Astyanax mexicanus: one gene and its partners. Each later gene encodes a partner of the first gene's protein in a complex. Links are inferred from orthologs where the notes say so. Each region holds a gene or a part of one and is shown on either strand. Other genes may lie near its edges.

The links.
Region 2: gas8 (region 1) and iqcg share a complex: the UniProt entries of both Homo sapiens proteins name them as parts of the nexin-dynein regulatory complex. The link is inferred for Astyanax mexicanus from reciprocal best matches to the Homo sapiens genes DRC4 and DRC9.
Region 3: gas8 (region 1) and efcab2 share a complex: the UniProt entries of both Homo sapiens proteins name them as parts of the nexin-dynein regulatory complex. The link is inferred for Astyanax mexicanus from reciprocal best matches to the Homo sapiens genes DRC4 and DRC8.

The regions. Positions count from the first base shown.
Region 1 is NC_064416.1:13,275,469-13,283,660, forward strand, and holds the start of gas8 (dynein regulatory complex subunit 4), read left to right. Parts: upstream 1-3,355; 5' UTR 3,356-3,544; coding exon 3,545-3,547; intron 3,548-3,743; coding exon 3,744-3,836; intron 3,837-5,184; coding exon 5,185-5,382; intron 5,383-5,478; coding exon 5,479-5,685; intron 5,686-5,807; coding exon 5,808-5,862; intron 5,863-6,313; coding exon 6,314-6,519; intron 6,520-6,602; coding exon 6,603-6,770; intron 6,771-7,612; coding exon 7,613-7,699; intron 7,700-7,943; coding exon 7,944-8,153; intron 8,154-8,192. Other genes in the region: tcf25 (transcription factor 25), read right to left, coding at 108-179, 417-533, 2,062-2,274. UniProt on the Homo sapiens protein: Component of the nexin-dynein regulatory complex (N-DRC), a key regulator of ciliary/flagellar motility which maintains the alignment and integrity of the distal axoneme and regulates microtubule sliding in motile axonemes.
Region 2 is NC_064416.1:10,716,104-10,724,295, reverse strand, and holds the start of iqcg (dynein regulatory complex protein 9), read left to right. Parts: upstream 1-3,114; 5' UTR 3,115-3,210; coding exon 3,211-3,339; intron 3,340-4,307; coding exon 4,308-4,510; intron 4,511-5,544; coding exon 5,545-5,682; intron 5,683-6,296; coding exon 6,297-6,369; intron 6,370-7,353; coding exon 7,354-7,515; intron 7,516-8,192. UniProt on the Homo sapiens protein: Component of the nexin-dynein regulatory complex (N-DRC), a key regulator of ciliary/flagellar motility which maintains the alignment and integrity of the distal axoneme and regulates microtubule sliding in motile axonemes.
Region 3 is NC_064421.1:67,928-76,119, forward strand, and holds the start of efcab2 (dynein regulatory complex protein 8), read left to right. Parts: upstream 1-4,173; 5' UTR 4,174-4,250; coding exon 4,251-4,275; intron 4,276-5,673; coding exon 5,674-5,752; intron 5,753-5,851; coding exon 5,852-5,924; intron 5,925-6,373; coding exon 6,374-6,453; intron 6,454-6,753; coding exon 6,754-6,796; intron 6,797-6,979; coding exon 6,980-7,046; intron 7,047-8,067; coding exon 8,068-8,186; 3' UTR 8,187-8,192. UniProt on the Homo sapiens protein: Component of the nexin-dynein regulatory complex (N-DRC), a key regulator of ciliary/flagellar motility which maintains the alignment and integrity of the distal axoneme and regulates microtubule sliding in motile axonemes.

The DNA of each region.
Region 1 (8,192 bases):
TAGTAAGAGAAGAGGAAGAACAGAAACACAAGCAAAACCTCCAGTGTTAAAATGTTCTGTTTTACACAAGTTTATATGATATGTAATATATACAGTGCATGTCATACCTGCACATCCCCAGGAGCAGTCTTTTTTTTCTTCTTCTTCTTTTTCTTTTTTACTTTCTCGTTAGAGTCAGACTACAAAATAAAAAGAAAAGATAAGAATAGGAATGCTATGTTTAAATGGTTCTGTTTGTGATCAAATTTGCCACTAGATGTCATACAGAGCACCAGCATCTCAGGTCAGAACAAAAAAATGCAATTAACACAAGCCTTAACTTTGCCACGCATGTTAAAGGGTTGACTTGAGTCTCTTTAGAGAAGAATTTAACAGTTATTTGTCCGTTTTTAATTAATGGTAATGTAGTTTTAAACCTTTGTGGTCTCCATATCAGGTTGGCACTCTTGCTTTTGTACTCCATGGCTTCTCCCTGTCAACACGTTCTCCTCATCAGTGGGACTTTTGTCTGTATCATTGTCAGGGTCACCAATCTGTAACAGCACAGAAACAAATAAACATCCACCCTGCTAAGAAAATTATATAAACTGATAGAGGCAGTCACTCAATGTTTATTAGCAAAGATAGAAAATCAAGATATCTGTAATGCAGTTATCCTAATAGAGGTGCTAACTTTGAAAATCAATTATGAAATATTTACTATCAAAAATATCTGATCTAATGATCTATAAATATATACTGCCAGGATAGCATATGCCTTATACAATCTGAATCATATCATGCCATTGATTCTCATTTGCTCATATATACAATTACCTTTTACAGCTTCAGTTACAAAAATACTAGTGCATCTCAAAAAATTAGAATATCAGTGAAAAGTTACTTTATTTCAGTAATTCAATTCAAAATGTGAAACTGATATATCATATAGATGTATTACACACAGGGTGATCTATTAAGTGTTTATTTCTTTTTGTTGATGATTATGGCTTACAGCCAATGAAAACCCAAAAATCAGTGTCAAAATCAGAATATTATATAAGACCAATTGGTACTTTTGGAAGTGTGGACAGTGTGCCAAGTCCTACTGGAAAATGAAATCCTCATCTCCATTAAAGTTGTCAGCAGAGGGAAGCATGAAGTGCTGTAAGATTTTCTGGGAAAACACTGCCCTGACTTTAAACTTGATATAACACAGTTGACCAACACCAGCAGATGACATGTCTTTTCAAACCATCACTGATCATCAGTAAATTGTACATTTCATTTGGAAATCAAGGGATCAGAGTCTGCTGGAAGAGTGGAGACACACACAGTCCAAACTGCTTGAGGTCTAGTGTGACATTTCCACAATCAGTGATGGTTTGGAGAGACATGTCATCTGCTGGTGTTGATCCACTGTGTGTTATATCAAGTCTAAAGTCAGTGCAGTTTTGTTTTTCCACAAAATCTTACAGCACTTCATGCTTCCCTCTGCTGACAACTTTTATGGAGGTGTGAATTTTATTTTCCAGTAGGACTTGTACAATATGTCCATAAAATCCAGAGTTCTAATATATTTTAATTAATTAATATGTGTACCTGGATTTTTTAATAGAATAGAATACTGATGGTGTATTTTGACATAATGGTGTATTTTTGATTGTCTCAGACATCTGAGTTTAAAAAAAGAAAGAATTTACTATACAATCATATTCATCTTCTGGACCAACCGTGTCTCTTATTTGTGTATAGTAATGTTTATAATTCTATAGCTATATCTTTAATTGGACTTAAAAAGTACATGTTATGTAATTGTAGATGCCAGGAAGTGATTAAAGTAAACAAATAGTACTAATAATAACAGTAACAGTATTACTGGTTATATTGATGATGATAATAGGAGATTCTGGGAGTATGGCTGGTCAGTGTGGAGTTTCATAAGTTTGTTTATATCTGGAATAAGAAGGTTTAGCATTACAGAGATCCTGAATTTGAGTTTTATTGTATTAGTAAGAACTCTGGTTATCAGCAGTCAGTCTGTATCAGTCTTTAGCTGTTCAGTGTTATTAAAGTTCTGACCAGTTCATAAATGTTGCTAATGTTCTTCTGAGATTTGCTCCTCTTGGTTTTCCTGCCTGCTCCTCTGACCGGCTGCAGAACCTCCTCCTGCTCCTCTAACTCCTCTCCCTCCCGCGCCGCCTCCTCCTCCTCCTCCACCCGCAGCTCCGCGAGGTCCAGGTCCTCCTGGCCGCGCTGCTTCCCCTTCAGTCTGCGCAGCGCGCGGCTCGACATCTTCACAAACTCCCTAAAACCAGCGGATCTGCAGCAGCTGCGCCCAACTGAGACCCCACCATAACCAGCACCACCAGCGACCCAACAACACGCCTCCTGATTGGACAGCAGTACGGAAACGCTGTCACTGTCACTACCGGAAAACAAATAAAAGTCCCACATGTTAATACAACCAGAAAACTTTTTTTTAAGTATTTTTACAACCAACATCTCAAGCACATCAAAACAAAAACATAAATAGACAAACAAAATAAACAGAAAAAAGTGGGATTCAAATTAATTTAAAATATCGAAGGATTTATGTTTTTTTCTATTTTTAATTTGTCCAAAAATTTCCAGTAAGTAATAATAATTATTTAGGTCTGAATAAATAAAAGTTCGGAATAATGGTATCTATTACAAAGTAAATATAAAGTCAAATCACTATAATTATATTCATTAAGAAAAAATAATTGCATTTAGTAGAAGAGAGCTTTAAAGAATCTTTATAACTTTTGTTTTGTTGAATATATATGTATATTTTGTATTGTTTTGTTTTGTATTTTATTATGTTAGTTTAACCTAATTAAAACTTGATTTTATTTATATTTTATATATATATATATATATAAAAATGTAAAAGCATTAAAAAATCAACTAACCTAATTAATATTTAATTAGATTTCATTTTTAAAGAATTAAAATTATTTAAAAGTTGGACAAGCTAAAATAAAACAATTCACTAAATAAAAGCAGTCAAAGTAAGAGATCATTAATTAGAACAACAAAAAAAAGAACATAACCCCAAATGTAAAATCTGAGTAAGTAAAAATAACACTAACATAACAGTGAAGAAGGATAGGGGTAAAATTATTACAGAAGAAAAATATTAAATTATTATTATTAAAGCAAAAAGAATAAACATAATAATTACATGTTCATAATATATATCGTCCTTTTTTCGTAGTATAAATAAGAATAAATGATTAAAGATTCCTCGCATTGCTTAAAAAAACAACAAACACTTTCTGCTTGGGAATATTTACTGAGTGAGTGTGGAGAGTCTGCAGGGCAGCTCCACGCTGCAGCGACTCATTTCTATTCTCGCGAGATCTGAACTGGTTTCCATGGATCTGGTTTGTTGTTTGCAGACCATCAGCACAGGAGAGCTGTAGCTAAACTATCTAAAGCTAAATCACGAGAATATCTGTACAGTTTCTCTGCAGAAACACCCGAATACACACTGCCCTCATCTGACTGACCAGTACTAGCTACTTTACACACATACAGCATGGTAAGTGTGATTTAACAGCGTTAATTTGTTAGTTAGCTAACGTTATATAGGTTATATATCGGTATAGCTAGTGGAGGAGCTATCTAACCAGAGAGTTAGTTAAAGCTGTATAGACTAACAGTACATCATTAATGTGCGGTAATGCAGTGAGAATGGGTATTTGTAACATTATCCTCTCCAAATGTTCATATTTCAGCCTCCAAAAAAGAAAGGAGGGAAGACTGCGAAGGGCAAGAAGAGCCCTACAGTGGTGGATGGACTTTCCACAGAGGAAATGTCGAAGGAGCAGGTAAACTAATATTTTAGCCAGTTATAATGTCATTATTACTGTTTGTGTCTTCAGTGATAATTATCTAACAGGTTTCCAGCAGATTCAAAGGCTACTAAAGCTTTATAGTTTGTTTTTAAGGTTCCAACAACAATGAGACAGAAATTCTAAACGCATGTTGCCCCCCCTGTGGAGCAATGGAACTGAGTTTTTAGGAATGATGGTTCTCCATTTAGCACTTCTAGGGTGGTGAGTTGTTGAGATGGGGGTGAGGTGGGTTACTGTACAAAGGTGTGAAAAGTATTCACATTTAATATTCAAGTATAAGTATAGATACAAGGGTTTAAAAATACTTCTGTTTAAAAATACTTATTTTTAATCAAGTAAAAGTGTAAAAATACTTGTTTCAAAACTGCTTAAAGTATCTAAGTAAGAGTAATGTTAGGGGAAAATGCATTTAAATGCACATTTTTTTAAATGAAAGGAGTAGAAAGTACAGATAGTAGTGTGAAAATGTGAGGAGTAGAAAGTACAGATAGTAGTGTGAAAATGTGAGGAGTAGAAAGTACAGATAGTAGTGTGAAAATGTGAGGAGTAGAAAAACAGATAAATGTGTGAAATTGTGATGAGTAGAAAGTACAGATAATTATGTGAAAATGAAGGAGTAGAAGTTACAAGTCATCTTAAAATAATTACTCCAGTAAAGTATAGATAACCAACATTTCTACTCAAGTAAGGTAACAAATCATGTATACTGTGTAATATGACACTTCTGGGTGGTGATCATCCAATATCCTGTTCTCACTAACACGATTGTGGCTAAATGCAATAAAATCCCAACAGCAATGATCCAAAATCTATAATAAAGCCTTCCCTGGACAGTCGAGACATTTACTCCAACAAAAGCTCTATGAACTCTATTTATAATAATAAAATAAGCAGTTGTCCATATATTGTATATTGACTTTAAAGTGACAGTCCATAGGTTCTGGTGAGGATGTGAATTTGCACTGAGCATGCTAAAAGTACTTTTAAAATGTGCATTTTAGGCAAAGTCTTTTTACCAGAGTTAGCGAAACTGGTGACTGTTTGCACTCTCCTTAATTCACCAGTTCTCTCCTGGTCTATTTCTGTGTTTCTTTGGTTTAGTGAGATCTGAATGAGCTGATAAAGACTGTGTTTGCTGTTCTGATATCGTTACATTCACAATAGTTTTTTGTATCAACATCATTATTAGCACTATGGTTGTTCATGTTCTATGACCTACCAGACACCCTGTTTTTAGAATGAATATATGTGGCTTTGCAGGAAGCACACTGATGCCAAGTATTAAAACTAAAACTACGTCATTATCTTCATTCTTCATTAGTTGGAGGACCACATTGTCCGCTTGCGTGAAGAGCTGGACAGGGAGAGGGAAGAGCGCAACTACTTCCAACTGGAACGAGATAAGATCCACACCTTCTGGGAGATCACCAAAAGACAGCTGGAGGAAAAGAAAGCAGATCTCAGGAACAGGGATCGGGAAATGGAAGAGGCTGAGGAACGCCATCAAGTTGAGATCAAGGTATCAAGAATGATAATGAGAAGCTCTGGCACATGAAACACTGAAAAAGTTTAGATCTATCATGAATGATCTAACGGTGTTCGTTCTGTTATTCAGGTGTACAAACAGAAGGTGAAACACTTGCTGTATGAACAGCAGAACAGCATCGCAGAGCTCAAGACAGAGGGAGTGGTCACCACCAAACTGCTGCAGAAGGAACATGCAGACCTGGAGAATGATCTGCGGAAGGGCATTCGGAATCTAAAAGTGGATATCAAGGAACAGGAGCTTTCCAGTGAAAATCTGATCAAGAGTCTTAAACTGGTGTGTGAATGCTCAGCTTACAGCTAACATGACAGTCAGTGTTGATAGACTTTAGGCTGATAAGATGTGGACTCTTTTTTAGTTAATGCTATGCAGTTACTAATCATACCTTCTTTTCCCAGAAACATGATGAGGAAATTACCAAGATCAGGAATGATTTTGAACGACAAGTACGAGGTGATGTATCTCACCCTTTTTTATTTGCTTTTATATTAGAGTAAATATTGTAATGTTACAGGCTATATCTCTCTTTTACATAATGTACTACTGGTCAAATCATTTACTAATTAAAGGATTTTTTAATCAAGTGAATAAACCTGTCAACAACTTAGAGCAGATCTGTTGCATTGGAAGTAAATTAACCCTGATGCAAATTTAATGCAAACAATTTACTATTTACAGTCCCTTTCTCTGTATAAAAACAGTGTTGGAACAAACAACAGTGTTTCACTACCACAGTATTTACACAACACTCTACATTCAGATCGCTCATTACTCATTATGACTAAAAAAAGACACTTAAGTTTTAGAGGTTTGATCACTTGGACTACTGAAAACATTTAGGGTCTAACTGTTCTCATACTTTTGACCAGTAGTGTAAATTATGCTATTTTGTTTTCTCTTGCAGAAATAGAGGCTAAATATGAAAAGAAAATGCTGGCTCTGCGCCAGGAGCAGGATCTCAGACGCAAGACTGAAATCGAGGAAATAGAAGAAAGGAAGAACTGCCACATTAACACACTGATACAAAACCATGAGAAAGCTTTCAGTGACATTAAGACCTATTACAATGATATCACTTCCAACAACCTAGCCCTCATCAGTACACTCAAGGTATGCCTGTGTCTGATATAACCTAGTGTTTGCTATTGATTAAACCACTATAATTCTTAATGAATTCTCCTCTCTGTGTGCAGGAGAATGAGAGAGAAATGAAGAATAAAGAAAAGAGGTTGGAGAAAGAGATGGCAAAGGTGCTGCGGGAGAACAAGCAGCTGACCGAGCCTCTGCAGAAGGCCACTGAGGAAGCCACAGAACTCCGGAAACAGCTGGCCAATTACAATAAAGACAAAAACTCACTAGCGGTGTGCACAAGTCTCTTTCAGGCTTATTCTGTAACACACATGCACTGTGCGTTCATTCCTCATGACTCATGATAAATTTGTACCTGGGCTTTTTACTAATATGTACTGATACATTATTGTGTGTGTAGATCATAGGGCTAGGCAATATATCATAAATATTTATATATTAGATGTGTTATGTATTAATTAATTATGAAACTAGGGGCGCCGAGTGGTCCAGCGGTCTAAAGCGCTGCCACTATGAGCGGAGATCGCAGGTTCGAACCCCCGCTCATGCAGCTTTGCCATCAAGCTGCCGGCGTCAGAGGGAGCAAAATTGGCCCTGCTCCCTCTGGGTGGGTAGATGGCGCTCTCTCCCCACATCACTCCTAGGGTGATGTCTGCAGCACAGGGCGTCTGTGAGCTGATGTACCGGAGCTGATGTACAGCGCGCTTTCCTCCAAGCTCGCTGGCTGCTCGGCAATGCTGCATCAGCAGCAGCTCGAAAAGAAGCGGGGGCTGTCTTGACATGTATCGGAGGAAGCATGTCCTGGTGCGTTGGGGCATCACTAGTGATAGAGGGAGTCCTAATGAGTGGGTTGGATAATTGGCCGTGTAAATTGGGGAGAAAATGGGAAAAATTTGAAATAAAATTATATAAAAAAAGAAAGTAATATATTGATAATTACTTAATTATAATATAAATAACAGATACAACAATAACTAAATAATCAACAATAAATAAAATAACTGCAAACCTCATTTATAGTAATATTTATACAATATATATATATATATATATATATATTTCTGGTTATTCTTTACAGCAAGTGCTAAATTAATTTATTTTGTTCCTCCTTTAGGGAGCCAGAGCTCGAATCAAGGTGGCAGAGAAAGAAATAAAGGACCTGAAATGGGAACATGAAGTATTGGAGCAAAGGTTCAGTAAGGTGAGATATACTGTTCATGCACATACACACTATTGTACATACTGTACACTAATGGACAATTTCAGTGTTCTCAGTTTATTTGTTTATGTTGTGCTGACTTTCTGTTATTTAATGTAAATCACCTGCACAAAGGATTATATATAGTTTTTTTTGTTTTAATAAATATGATCCATTTTTCTAAAGACTTTAACCCATTAGACCTGTTACTCAAATTGTCCTCTCTCTTTGCTTTACTGCTCCTCAGGTGCAGCAGGAGCGTGATGAACTGTACCAGAAGTTCACCAAGGCCATCCAGGAGGTGCAGCAGAAGAGCGGCTTTAAGAACCTTCTCCTGGAGAGGAAGCTAGCTGCTCTTACAGACTCCCTGGAGAAGAAAGAGGCTCAGCTCAATGAGGTTCTTGCTGCCTCAAATTTAGACCCCACAGCCCTCAACGTGGTTACTCGCAAGATTGAGGTACAATATGTTACCAAAACTTAATGAAACAATTTATTT
Region 2 (8,192 bases), about 2.6 Mb from region 1:
TTATTTGATATTGTGTTACTGTATTGTGATCCGAATTGGTGTTGCAGTATTGTGATCAGACATTGCATTGTAGTACAGTTTTTGTGATCTGAAATAATGTTACTGTAACATGATATTGCATCATAATAGCTTGTTACCGTAAAGTATGATTACAGTATTGTGATGACTACAGTACAGGAACGTGATCTGAAATTGCGATTCAATATTGTGAACAGATACTGTGTTACAGTATTGTGATCCCATATCGTATTACAGTAATGTATGATTACAGTATCGTGAACAGATATCGTGTTACAGTATCGCGATATAGAGCACTGCGTCCGTATCGCTGAGCCCCAGCCTGTAACTACTCCCTCCCCGGGTAGAGTTAGCAGCTAAGTTAGATTAGCCAACTAGCTAACTATCCCTGTACAGAGTCCCACTCAGGATAATCAGACTGATCTGATCTGCTGTAGATCAGACTGCAGCTGTTAATCAGATCAGATCAGATCAGATGATTAAATAATCAGACTGTAAATTAGTTAACCCGCAGCTCCAGCTGTAACTCTGTAACCCCACTAACTGTGTTCCGCTGACCCGCTCCGGCAGCGGCTCTCTCTCCCCGGGCTGCGGGGCGGCCGGCGGTCCGGCTGCGGGAGAAGCCTCACCTTCACGGAGGGGAAGAGCTGGACAGATCCGACGCTTCTCCGAACATTTTAAACTCTTAAACCCGCCTCACTCCGTGCTCTCGGGTCTGCGCTGCTGCTGCTGCTGCTGCCATCTTGTCCTGGAGATCCGGAGCGGAGACGTCGCGGTGTCCTCCTCCTCCTCTTCCCGCATCCTAAACTCCGCTACAGCGCTCTAACCCTGCCAGCAGCTCCTCAGCCGCTCCCCCGCACTGCCCGACGCGCTCTCACTGATACCGGGTACGGCCGCGCGGGCGCTGGAGCCCATCTCTCAGACGGGAGCCTCTGTGCTCTGTCCTCCCCGTTGCGCTGCTTCGCTCTCGGCTGAGGGAGGGGGAGCGCCGCGCTTATCATACAGCCAGACTCAAACAAACCAACCGAGAGACATCGAGCGAGGCCCCGCCGGGCCGTGTCCCAACAGCAGCGCGAGATGCCTAACTAGGGTGCCTAGCTAGGATGTACAGGGTCCTGCCGCCACGTGGCTGTTTAGAGAACAACAAACAGACAGACAGACAGGCATATAACTAAAATAAACAGACAGAGAGACCTACAGATATATAGACAGACAAATATACAAATAGATAGTCAGATATACAGACACATTAACAGAAAGACAGGCAGATAACCAACAGATAAACAAACATAGATAGATTGACGGACAGACAGATTATTAGACAGATAGACAGACAGATAGACAGACAGACAGACAGACTGACTGACAGATATATAGGCAGACAAATATACAGACACATTGATTAACATACAGACAGACAGACAGACAGACAGACAGACAGACAGACAGACAGATAGATAGATAGATAGATAGATAGACATTATAATCTAACATAAGAAGGCAGTGCAATAATGAATATACAGTGTGGAACAGCAGCAGGTATCAGCAGTTAATGAGAATTCTGAATAAACACATACACATATATGTATTTAGTAGTGTGGCTAGTGTCCAGAAGTGCAGATGTACAAATGTAAAGTGTATCTTTGTATTGTTATAGCTTTATATATAGTCTCTGTGTGTCAGGTGTGTGCAGGTGCATCTGGTAGATCACTGATTAGTAGAGTTTAATGGATCGATGATCAGCTCTGTGCTCGTTTAGTTCGGTCTGTTCTTCTGTGCTTCCATCCTCATACCCTGCTGCCCTCTGCTGCTACAGCAGATACATGCAGCAGTTCTGACTTAATCACACTCAGGTACTGTCAGTATACCATACTACTGAGAGTTAACAGCACAGTGCAAAAAAAAGACATATTACTACTGTACTACTATGAAATACGTAAATGTAAAATACAGAATAACAATAATGACTTTTATCTAGATGTGACCTCTCAGGTCATTTGAGAGGTGCACGATGCCACTCTTCAGAGAAGATGAGAAAATAGGAGAAAAACTTGCAATTAACTCCTTACCTCTTCTCATAATTAGATTCACATGTGTATGTAGGTTAAAGGTCAATAAGCTTACCAAACGTGTTTAAATAATTAGTGCTAAATGTATTCAAATAAAATGACAAGAGTGTTGAACGAAAAGAAAATGGTGTTGAAAGAATGAACAACTCACGATTTTCAGATTTGATACATGCAGATCCTTAAATCCAAATCTATTTAATTCAAAACTCAGAAATACAAATACATTCAGTAGATATATTTGTAGAAGGTATGTATCAGAATTAGGAATCTGAATTTTTACATTTAAAAATGTATGGAACTACTTTTTTAAGTTACTTTTAAATGTATTTTTAAGCAGCACATTTGGCCACCTCATAAATTCAGAATATAACCATTTTACTCTATTCACCCACATTTACTAGTGGTGAATAAATAGTGTCTGACTACCTATTGTTTAATTTTAGTCAGTGGAATAGAGTATTTTGTTAGGAAAAGAAGGAAAAGGGAAAGAAACCATACCTGTATGCATCTCCAGCTTTAGCTCACCAACCAATCAGCTCACAGTAGCCGTGATGCTTGCGTCTCTACAGCATAAACATACAGGTAAGTTTATTTTGCTTGTATCTAAATATTTGATTCTAGTTTCTAATATTAAATGAATATCTCGGACAAGTAGCCCCTATTTGGCCACCTCTTACGTTCAGAATATAAAAATTCTGATTAAAATTTATGAATTATGTCACTAAATAAGTGTATTAAAATATAAAAATGCAAGTTGAAATACATGTCATCCCGGGCTCCCTCTAGCAGTTTACAGTAATTTAATGTAATTCAATTTTTACAGTGATTTCTTTGTGTTGAAATTAATCACAATTTTTATATTTATAAATAACAAAATAATTTATTATACTTAAAATTAAATGAATATCCCGGGAAAGTAAGTAAGTAAATAATTTGTAAGTTAGTTAGTGAACTCCCATTCATTTTGGTCTCCTCCAGCGGTGAGCGCACTAAGTGCGCAGGCTCACCACGTTGCGCGTGCCGATACGTTAGTTGCGTACAGTGTGTCGCGTTACCAGGGGTAACGTGCGTAAAGCGCGCAGATTGCAGAGTTCGGTGTTGTCAGTGGCTGAACGGGAGAATTATGTCGTGCCGGGTTTCGGGAGTGGACCGGCTCCGGGTCTGCGCGGTTCTGGAGCGCTGTGCGGACCAGCTGGACATTCTGGGACACATCATGCCGAAGAACCGGAGGAGCCGCCCGGGGGCTGAGGAGGTCTGTAACCGGCTGTTGGAGGAGCAGAGTGGGGCTTAACACAGCTCTGTTCTAGTATAAATATAACTAAACATAACCTATAACCATAATCTATAACTTTAAAACATAATTACTATAACATATAACTATAGCCTATATAACTATAACCTATAAACCTATAACTGTAACCAATAACTGTAACCTATAACTATAACATATAACTATACCCTATAACTGTAAACTATAACCTATAACTATAACCTATAACTGTAACCTTTTACTATAAACTATAACCATGACCTATAACCTTTAACCATAACCAATAACTTTAACCTATAACTATAAACTATAACCTTTAACTATAAACTATAAGCACGACCTATAACTTTTAACCATAACCAATAACTTTAACCTATAACTATAAACTATAACCATGACCTATACCTATGACCTATAACTTTATTCTATAACTTTAACCTTAAACTATAACTATAACATATAAACATACCCTATAACTGTAAGCTATAACCTATAACTGTAACCTATAACTGTAACATTTAACTATAACCTTTAACCATAACCAATAACTTTAACCTATAACTATAACCTATAACCATGACCAATAAACTATAACCTATAACTTTATCCTAAAACTTTATCCTATAACTTTAACCTTAAACTATAACTATAACCTATAACTATAACCTATAACCATGACCTATAAACTATAATCTATAACTATAAACTGTAACCATGACCAATAAACTATAGACTATAACCTATAGACTATAACCTATAACTTTATCCTTAACCTATAACTATAACCTATAACAAATAACTGTACCCTATAACTGTCAACTATAACCTATAACTATAACCTATAACTGTAACCTGTAATTTATAACTATAACCTTTAACTATAAATAAATATAACCTATAACAATAACTGTAGAACATTCTAACTCATCCTGTGCTGTACTGTTGAGCAGGCAGAGGCTGCACATATCAGCGTGATCATTAAACAGCACCAGGCCGCTGAGAGTCACCTGAAGACTGTGCGTAAGAGTCGGGTAAATGATTCTGAACTCTCTGAGGCAGTGGAAGAGCTTCATCTGTCCCAAAACCAGCTCAGACGCACGCTGGAGGAAAGCTCATCCTCCCACAACAATCTGGCCAAAGTGGAGAGAGACAGGTACAGACACTTACATCTGATTCTTCTTCCTCCATAATAATGTAGACATTGTTTATTTGGGTGGTGAATTGGGGTTTGACACATAGTATTGTGCGTAATAATATCACTAAAATGTAAAAAAATAAATAAAAATGTGATAGTTTTAGATGTGATCAGGATACTCCTTTTTTTTTTTTTTTTGCAATTTGTAAAAAATGGAAAATTCACATTGTTCTTATTTTCCATTAAATATGTACTACATACAGATTATATCTGGCCAGTATCTTTTATTTTACTTTAGTCCTAGATATTTAGAGTGCTAATGATTATTTGTATCATGACATGTTGCATCATTGACTTCCATAATGTGCCATATCATATTGTATGCAATAAAAATATGGTGGTTGTGTGTTAATAGTGTGTGTTTCTCTGGTATAAGTGGATTAGACACAGCAGTGCTGCTGGAGTTTTTAAACATTTTAGCATCACTGGTAGAGAGAGAACATTCTATCAACCAAGAACATCCAAAAAAGTGTCTTGTGGGTATCATCCTGGCAGCGTCCTGTGGGCAGCGTCCTGTGGGCAGCATCCTGTAGGCAACATCCTGTGGGCAGCGTATCAGTGTCCTGTGAAGTAAAGGACCAGTGAATGATGAACACAAACTGTGCATTTTATATCTACAAACTGTGTCAGTTAGGGAGGAGTGTCTAATAGAGTGAAGTACAGTGAATACATTGTTTAAGAACTCCAGCAGCACTGCTAAAGTGTCTGATCCACTCGTACCAGCAACACAACAAATACTACTAACACACCAGCAACATGCCAGTGTCACTGCAGTGCTGAGAATAATAACCCACCACCAAAATAATACTGTTCTCACCACTAAATAGCAACAAAAACTAATAAAGTATGCAGAAAAACAGATACAGGACTACAGTCTATACTTATTATAGAACTACAAAGTATTCCTGTTTGCTCAGTGTAGCTGATAAGATGTGTAGAAACATGGAGATGTATATAATAATGAACCTAATAATGACCCACTCTGTTTGCAGGCAGTTTGTAGCCAAGGTGATCTCAGACCTGCTGGCTGAAATTCAAGAGAGTGGCACTTTTCACAGCCTGGTTCAGGCAACGGAGGAAGAGAGGAAGAAGAGCGATGGTGAAGATCACCTGCATGACACTGTCATAAGGTCTGAACATGAACGCTGAACTATCAATACTGTGGTGGACAGTATTTAATATTTGAAGCACGGCGACTCGAAACTGATACATCAGCTCACAGATGCCTTGTGCTGATCGACATCACCCTAGGAGTGATGAGGGGGAAAGAGCGCCATCTACCCACCCAGAGAGAGCAAGGCCAATTGTGCAAAAGTGCTTTCTCAGGGCTCTAGTAGTTGATGGCAAGCTGCATGAACAGGATTCAAACCGGCAATCTCCTCCTGATCATAGTGGCAGCGCTTAGCCCGCTGGACCACTCAGAGCCCCCTCAGTGGTGGACAGTAACAAAGCAAATGTAATTCGGTTAACTTTGTACTTAACCCCAGACCTGAATTATGTTCCAGTTATGGAAAAATATATGAATGCTGTTTGCTGTCTGTAATGCACACAAAATAAGACGCTACTATCCTCATATAAGCTCTATATATATAAAAATGATCAAATTAACTAAATTTCTTATTCATACACATTTATTTTTTTGATGCAAATTGAATGTCTACTCGACGTATACAGTATATATCTATATATAGCCTAAGGAGTGCTGCTAAGATCTATAAACACAGAATGTCCTCGTGTTCTGCAGGGAGGAGCTCAGGATTAAAGCCTTGCGAAAGCAGCTGGTTGATGTTCAGGAGGAGAAAACATCAGAACTTGAGGTGAGTACACACTGTTTTTCTTTTGTTTGTTTGTTTTTGTACACTCCCCAAATTTCAGCAAATATTTGATTAAATATTAATATGGATCTAACGCAAGAGTAGTAAAAGAAACCATAGGTCAGTTTGGTTCTTCTTTATTTTATAAAAAAAAAAAAAATAAAATGCACTTTATTTAAACTTAAACTTGTTCATTACGATTCTTATCAATAACATAAGTTTTACATTAGTAAAGAAAGAAGAACTTTTTTTTTTCACAAAGAAGAATACGCAGATACATGCATATCTGTTAGAAAGGCTTAAAGATTTCTTTTTTTTACAGCTTAAAAAATACGAAAAACGTTAATTATGGGAGAAAGTTTGGCCACACTTGGTTAGATGATTAATTCAAGTTTCCAGATTAATCATACTCAATTATGCATTAATGTTAACAGCACCACTTAACCTCCCTGTTATGTTACAGGTCGAATTGACCCGTTTTAAAGTTTGAAGATCTAGGAAAAATAGTTAAAAGTATTTTTTTTTTCCAGTATGAAACTTCTTCTGCTTGCCTCAATTAGTGTTATCAACATATAATATGAAAACAATTCATCTTACATATTTGCAACCACCCCCTGCAAAAACTAAATCTAAAACTAAATTTAAATTTTATGTTTCAATGTTATGTAAAACAATTGTGTTTTATTTGCCGTATTGTTTTTTTGAAGCAGTAAAACAAAGTTTAAACGTATATTTTTAAAATGAAAAACGAGTGAATTATCCTGACTGAACCATTACCTGTTAGAGGTAAGGAACACCATTGCACTAAATATTGATAGAATAATTAGTAATGGAGTTAGCAATGAAATATTTGCAATGCTTGTTTTTTTTTTGGATATTTCCCCTTGCTGTTCCTGACAAATTAACATAATAGGAGGGTTAAAACCTTGATTATTTTAATATATTATCGATAATTTATGAACTAGTGTTCTTTGTGTCTCTCTGTAGAGGCTGGAGGGCATAAAGGTGGAACTGGAGCAGCAGCTGCAGCAGATCACACTCAAGAAGAACATAGAGAAGAACTACGCAACCAGCAGTGCTGAGCTGCTCATCTACCAGGGACAGAAACTGGCCAATCAGAAGGAGCAGGGGCTGGAGGAGGAGAAAAAGGTGTGTGTGCCTGATATATTCAGACTCACTATACTGATTGATCTATAGTTTGTAGTTGATGGTAAAGTGAATGATGTATGAGGGGAACTTTCACACCTGCCCTGATTGGGTCAGAACCAAAGTATCAGGTGTGAAAGGGGGCGTGAAGCCGAGTCAGTCTTCTGGAGTCAATCTGGAGGAAAAAAAAACTAACTGGTGTTGTGTCAAAATTGGTCTAGTCTTGGTGTGTAAACGACTACAACCCTTCAACAGCTCTGGAAAAAAAAAAGAGACCACCTAAAAATTATGAGTTTCTTTGATTTTACCAAATTGAAAACCTCTGGAATATAATCAAGAGGAAGATGGATGATCACAAGCCATCAAACCAAACTGAACTGCTTGAATTTTTGCACCAGGAGTAACACAAAGTTATTCAAAAGCAGTGTGTAAAACTGGTGGAGGAGAACATGCCAAGATGTATAAAAAACTGTGATTAAAATCCAGGGATATTCTACCAAATATTGATTTCTGAACTCCTTAAACTTTAGGAATATGAACTTGTTTTCTTTGCATTATTTGAGGTCTGAAAGCTCTGCATCTTTTTTGTTATTTCAGCTATTTCTCATTTTCTGCATATTAATGCTCTAAATGACAATATTTTTATTTGGAATTTGGGAGAAATGTTGTCTGTAGTTTAC
Region 3 (8,192 bases), on another chromosome or scaffold:
GTTGCGGCGAGGGAAGCGGTGTGTGTAATGTGTGTATAATAAGTGTGTGTGTGTGTGTGTGTATTGCAGGTGTTGCGGTGTGTGTACAGCAGCAGCAGTAAGCGGTTGCGGGTTGCGGTGCGGCGCGGGAAGCGGGTGGGGAAACGGTTACTGAAGCTGCCGGAGAACCGCAGCAGCCTCAGCCTGTGGCGGGAGTACGCTCACCTGCAGTGGATTGTGGGTAATGTGGAGGAGGGGCGGAGAGTGTTCGACACGGCACTCGCAGTGGGAGGGGCTTCAGGACTGCAGGACCACACCCTCTGCGAACTCTGCCTTTTGTACGCCCAGTTAGAGGTGGAGCAGGCGTGCATGGGCGGAGCTAAAGCCTCCGTGGCTCCGCCCACTGGCTCTCGGGCTGTCTATGTTCTGAGCAGGCTGGCGGAGGGGGGCGGGTACAGCGGGTTCTCAGGGCAGGTGAGCCCGGTGTCGGTTCTAAAGGCCCGGAAAGCGTACGAGAACGCCCTATCAGCAGCTGCAGAGGGCGGGACACCACGGAGTGCTCTGATTGGCTGTTTCGGACTGTTCCAGTACCTGACGGTGGGGATTGACGCTGCTGATGCGGTCTTCACTGAAGCCAGAGAGCGGCTGACACCCGGCACTGCCACTGCCACTGCCACTGGCACAGAACCCGACCCGTCACTCAGAGAGCGCGAGGCCGTGTGCGTCCTGCATGTGGCACTGCTGCGGCTGCACTCCAGCACCAGCGCCTTCCCCCTGTCCCGCCTCCGGATGGCGCTGACCGACGCCCTGCGCCTCCTGCCCTGCAGCGCCACCCTGTGGCACTTCTACCTGCTGACCGAGAGCCGTTACCATAGCGCCGGCCGCGCCCGCAGGTTCTTCCACACCGTCGCCAGGGGCAACCAGACCATCATACCACACCTGTTCTCCATCACCGCAGAGCAGCGGAGGAAACAACACCTCGACTCCGTCATCAGGTCAGAACAGAACTACACAAACACACACACACTACACACTGTACACACACACACACACACACACACACTCTACACACACACACACACACTATACACACTAACCCCTCCCGTCTCTCTCTCAGGTTGGGTCTTCCAGCCGATGCTCTGCCAGTGATCCCGGAGACGGGCCTTAGTAACCGTATCCGCTCACTGTTTGAGGTTGCCGTGGCGACGGAGGAGGGAGCCCACTGCCCCCTGCTGTGGAGGATGTACATGAACTTTATGGTAAAACATCTTTCCCTCTTTTGTCTGTTAACCCTAAAGTGTATGGGTTTCAGGGACGGGGATGAAGATGTTGGTGATTATGGTGATGATGGTGATAATGGTGATGAATGGTGATTATGGTGATTATGGTGATGATGGTGATGATGGTGATGATGGTAATAATGGTGATGATGGTGATTATGGTGATTATGGTGATAATGGGATGATAGTGATGATGGTGATGATGGTGATGATGGTGATAATGGGATGATGGTGATTATGGCGATTATGGGGATAATGGTAATGATGGTGATTATGGTGATGATAGTGATGATAGTGATAATGGCGATGGTGATTATGGTGATTATGGTGATGATAGTGATGATAGTGATGATGGTGATAATGGTGATAATGGCGATGATGGCTATGGTGATGATGGTGGTGATGGTGATGTTGATTATGGTGATTATGGTGATAATGGGATGATGGTGATAATGGGATGATGGTGATGATGGTGATGATGGTGATAATGGGATGATGGTGATTATGGGGATAATGGTAATGATGGTGATTATGGTGATGATAGTGATGATAGTGATTATGGCGATAATGGCGATGATGGCGATGGTGATTATGGTGATGGTGGTGATGGTGATTATGGTGATAATGGGATGATGGTGATTATGGTGATTATGGTGATTATGGTGATAATGGGATGATGGTGATTGTGGTGATTGTGGTGATAATGGGATGATGGTGATGATGGTGATAATGCTAATAATGGTGATTATGGTGATAATGCTAATAATGGTGATTATGGTGATAATGGGATGATGGTGATGATGGTGATGATGGTGATAATGGGATGATGGTGATTATGGTGATTATAGTGATAATGGGATGATGGTGATTATGGTGATAATGGGATAATGGTGATGATGGTGATGATGGTGATAATGCTAATAATGGTGATTATGGTGATGATGGTGATGATGGTGATAATGGGATGATGGTGATTATGGTGATTATGGTGATTATGGTGATAATGGGATGATGGTGATTATGGTGATAATGGGATAATGGCGATGATGGTGATAATGGGATAATGGTGATGATGGCGATGATGGTGATAATGGGATAATGGTGATGATGGTGATGATGGTGATAATGCTAATAATGGTGATTATGGTGATGATGGTGATGATGGTGATAATGGGATGATGGTGATTATGGTGATAATGGGATGATGGTGATTATGGTGATTATGGTGATTATGGTGATAATGGGATAATGGTGATGATGGTGATGATGGTGATAATGGGATAATGGTGATGATGGCGATGATGGTGATAATGGGATAATGGTGATGATGGCGATGATGGCGATAATGGGATAATGGTGATGATGGTGATAATGCTAATAATGGTGATTATGGTGATTATGGTGATGATGGTGATGATGGTGATAATGCTAATAATGGTGATTATGGTGATGATAGTGATGATGGTGATGATGGTGATAATGGGATGATGGTAATGATGGTAATGATGGTAATGATGGTGATTATGGTGATGATAGTGATGATAGTGATGATAGTGATAATGGTGATTATGGCGATAATGGCGATGATGGCGATGGTGATTATGGTGATGGTGGTGATGGTGATTATGGTGATTATGGTGATAATGGTGATGATGGTGATGATGGTGATGATGGTGGGTGTGTGCAGGTGTGTAACGGGGACACAGAGAGAGGAAGAGGAATCTTCTATAAAGCTCTACAGAACGTCCCCTGGGCTAAAGTGAGTCCCTCTCTATATATACGTATAGTGTGTGTATATTTATATGGTGTGTGTTTGTATGTGTTATTTATATATATGTATTGTGTGTGTGTGTGTGTGTGTTATTTATATGTATATATATATATATATATATATATATATATATATATATATATATATATATATATATATGTATTGTGTGTGTGTTTTATTTATATATATGTGTATATATGGTGTGTGTGTGTGTGTGTGTTATTTATATATATGTATATATATATAATGTGTGTGTATGTGTGTGCGTTTGTGCAGTGTGTGTATATGGACGCGGTGCGGTTGTTTCCGGATCGGGTTCAGGAGTTTTTGGATCTGCTGGTGGAGAAGGAGCTCCGGCTCCGAGCGCCGATGGAGGAGGTGGAGATCCTGCTGGAGGAATAAACGCCTACACTACCCACAATGCACCAGACCTGCGGACCCTCACATACCTTTATTTATATTTTATTTGGATATGAAAATGGTAATTTTGTGATAAATGTATATATTTATAGTCTGCAGTGTCCGGGTTTTATTTTTTAATGTTTTTAATTAACGTCTTTAATAAACATCGATTTCTGTAATAAATACAGAACACAGTACTGTACTTTACTCTCAGTACTTCAGTACATTTTACTGTAAACTACTCCAGTATTGAAATACAAATAATGTTAAATACTTCTGTACTTTTACTGAAATGTGGAGCTTAAAGAACTTTAGCTTCCACATCCTGAAACATCTGATCCCACCACTGATCCCAGAACAGCAGCAGCTCAGGAATATTTAACAGTGATGAAGTAATGTCATGTAATAAAGTACTGTAATGTAATTAAGTACAGTAATGTAATAAAGTACTGTAATGTAATTAAGTACAGTAATGTAATGAAGCTCCAGTGTTGATCTTCTGGAGATCTGGAGATTTCTCCTGCACAGTTCTGTAATCTGAGCTGCATTGGGGGGAGGTGGTCTTAATGTTTTGGCTGTACATTTCATATTTCATTAAGCTTAATTTAAATATAAGATTTATATTAGAACAGTTGCATTATTACTTTAATCTATAATCTAATTTATAATCAGATTTTATATAAAACTCAGTCTTTTCTGTGTTGTGCAGAATTTAGAGCTGATTGTAGTTTAGTGGGCGGAGTTTGGGGGGGTTGCACTATCTGGCAACCCAGCTACCAGCAGCGCGTCCGTATCTAAGCAACCAGATCCGCGGTGGAATGGCGGAGGAGCGCGCGCTTGCAGGTAAACATCGGGTTCTCTTTATTAACTCTTTAAACCGATTAATCAATTAATCCAATTACCGATTAATCTCGAACCGCGGCGTCACTGTCAGCGCGGCTCTGCTGGGTTGCCAGATATTAACGCGTTTTTATTTCAGTGACCTGATGCAGAGAAAGTAGGAGAAACAGCGCTGTTTAAACACATCCACGTTCCTCTGATTCATTTACTTACGTTTAAAAATAAAAATAAATAAATCATTCTCTAAATCCAGCGACAAGATCAATAATCTGGCAACACTGGAACACTATAACACTGCTCTGTAACAGTAAAGAGTTACCCAACGCACTTTTAGTATTAATATAAAAAAACTGAAAGCACTTTACCATTTAGAATAAAATGCATCTAATTCTATACCCTCTCTACATCTGTACACACTCATTTATTCACCTCTAAATCACTTTTAGTGCATAAAATCACCTATTAATGTTCCCAGATAAGAAAAAAAAACACCAACAGCTCCAAATCTATAGGATTTACACATCTAAATAACGGGGGTGTTCACTTTGAATCATGGGGAAAATTCACACCCATTAATATTATACAAATCCTGTATTATAACTCTATTATATATTATATTTTATATATTTACAAATTTACTAGCATTTCAGCAACGGTGTATGATACAGCTAGGTGGCAGCAAACACACGCACTTCCTTTATATTTACAATACAGTGTCGATTCTCCTGTATATTTAATTGTAAAAATGTAATATACTGTATAATTGGCACTCTATCCAAATTTCTAAAGTGCGTGTGTTTGCTGCCACCTAGCTGTATCACATACAGTTGCTAAAATGCTAGTACATTTGAAAATATATAAAATATAATATATAATAGTCAAGTCAAATGTATTTCTAATTTAAAAACCACAAATACCAACCAAAGTACTGTACAATACAGAAGTACGAACAATTAAATATATAAAACTAAACAACAAATAAGATATAAGATAAATAAAAAAGTAGCATCAGGAAACAAGATTCAGATTAACCCCAGACACTCAGAACTGAACACACTGAAAGTCCTGAGAGTACAGGTACGATTTTAGATTAGTATTAAAACAGTGATGGAGGGAGATGCAGATTATTCCACAGTTAAAGCTCTGTAATCTTCTGACTTCAGTTCAGGAGTTTAAGCGTCTCTAAGAGCTGCTGATTTTTAGGACTCGTCGGGTTGAATATGGATGCAGAAGGTCGGAGATGATGGTCTGATGGAGACGCTGTTAAAACTTTAATTATAAATTGACCGACAGTCGGTACAGGAAGTCCTGTACAGGAGAGATGGACTCCCTCTCATTAGTCCCAGTTAAGAGTTCAGGAGGTTCTGAAGGTTCTGATCAGGAGGTTCTGATTGTGTTCAGGTGTGTCGGAGGTCCAGAAGAAGATCCGGAGCGCGTTTGATGTTTTTGATCATGAACAGAATCAAACTGTGGACGTCAGGTTGGTTCTGATTCTGCAGATTATAGTGATGTAGAGTTCTGAGTTCTGATCGGGTTCTGTAATGAATCTGATCCGATTTGTTTGTTTGTTTGTTTTTAGGGAGATCGGGACGATTATTCGTTCTCTCGGTCGATTTCCCACCGAAGCTGAACTGCATGACGTCATCGCTGAGGTCAGAGCTCATTTACATATTTCAGACATATTATATTAAATCTGCGGCTGTGTCTTTTATACTGGTTTATATACTAAGTTATATACTGGTTTATAGGTTACAGACAGGTTTATATACTGGTTTATAGACTGGGTTATATATATGTTTATAGACTGGGTTATATAGAGGTTTATAGACTGGTTTGTATACTGATTTATTTACTTGGTTATAGACTGGTTTATATACTGGTTTTTAGACTTGTTTATATGTTATAGACTGGTTTGTATACTGTGGTTTAGATTGATTTCTATACTGGTTTATATACTGATTTATAGACTGGTTTATATGCTAATTTATATGTTATAGACTGGCTCATATGTTATAGACTGGGTTATATAGAGGTTTATAAACTGGTTTATATACTCGTTTATAGACTGGTTTAATGAGCAGTGCTGGAAATGTTGTTACAGATCGAGGAGGAGGAGCCAGCGGGCTTCATCCGTTTTGAGAAGTTCCTGCCGACCATGTCCCGAATCCTGATGGAGAACAAGTAACTCTTGATCACTGCGTTTACACTGAACTGATTAATCTGAATTATTTCAAACTCCAGTTCTGATTGGAGGTTCTGATCAGAAATTCTGATCGGAGGTTCTCATCGGAAGTTCTGATCGGAGGTTCTGATCGGAGGTTCTGATCGGAGGTTCTCATCGGAAGTTCTGATTGGAGGTTCTGATTGGAGGTTCTGATTGGAGGTTCTGATCGGAGGTTCTGATTGGAGGTTCTGATCGGAGGTTCTGATTGGAGGTTCTGATCGGAGGTTCTGATTGGAGGTTCTGATTTGTTCTGTCAGGTTACGTCCCGTTCCTGAGGATCTTCTGCTTCAGGCGTTTGAGGTCAGAAACTCTTACGTTCATCTTGTTCAGATATTAATTTAACTTCAGCGGTGCAAAAGCACACAGTCTGAATCCTGTAGAGCAGGAGATCAGGAGGGAGATCAGGACTGTGTGCTAAAGGTGTTTATAGAGCGAATCTGGTTGTTAAATTAAATAATAATAAATAATATAAATGTGTTTCAGGTTCTGGATCAGCAGAAGAAAGGACACCTGGATCCGGAGGAGCTCAGCAGATATTTAACACAGGAAGGTAAATCCAGCACTTAGACTTTAGCTCCTCCCACTGCCGGTGACATCATCAGATATGTAAAGTTTACTGAAGATTAATTAGAAATTCCTGACTGTGTTTCGAGTCTCAGAGCTGAGGGTGGTGTTGTGGGTGGTGCTGAGGGCGGGGCTGTGGTCGGGGCTGATGGATGTGCTGCTGTTTCTGCAGGAGATCCTTTCTCTCAGGAAGAGATGGAGCAGATGAGGGTGGTGTTGTGGGCGGGGCTGAGGGTGATGTTCTGGGTGGGGCTGAGGGTGGTGTTCTGGGTGGGGCTGGGGTTGTGGGCGGGGCTGAGGGCGGTGTTGTAGGCGGAGATGAGGGTGGTGCTGTGGGCGGAGCTGAGGGTGGTGCTGTGGGCGGAGCTGAGGGTGGTGTAAAGGTGCTTGCACACTGAACGCGGTATGCCGCGCGGCATTCCGCTGTGCTGCCGCTCTGCTCTACGCTGGTCAGTTGCGGGTGCGTTGCGCTGCTGCTGACGCCAAGCGTCTCCTGCTGATAATAGGCGGAGTTTTCTAAAACCCATCACCTCTGTGAGCGGTGTTTTGTAGTTTTGAGTCTCTACAGCCTCTGTGGATCTGTATATGTTTCTCAGCCTCAGAACAAAGCTCTGATTCTTCTCTTCCTCCTGTTATCTCTATATGAGTGTAGGGAAGTGATGTACAGCTGAGGGGATTCACTAATCGCTATTATTAGTCTCTCGCGCACGTTTATTGTTGTTTGGACTACAGTTTCTCTCTAGTCGCGTGAGTTCACGTCATGCGTTTTCTGCCGAGGTACCGCTTGCCGCGAGGTCAAAGTTGAACCATGTTGAACTTTGCCCGCGGTAAGCGGTAGCGCGGTGGAGGCGTGGTTATGGGCGTGGAAACGCGCCGCTTTCCGCTCTGCTCCGCGGCAGCGACGCACCGCTCTACCGCTCTAGACACTATTGAATCCTATGGGGGTCAGCGTACCGCGCCGCATCTACCGCGTGCAGTGTGCAAGCACCTTTATTGTGTTCCTGCAGGAGATCCGTTCTCTCAGGAGGAGATGGAGGAGATGCTCTCTGCTGCTCTGGATCCCGAGAAGAATCTGATCTTCTACAGGGATTTCGTCAGCATGATGACCGCCGATGAGCCGTGGTAACGAGGG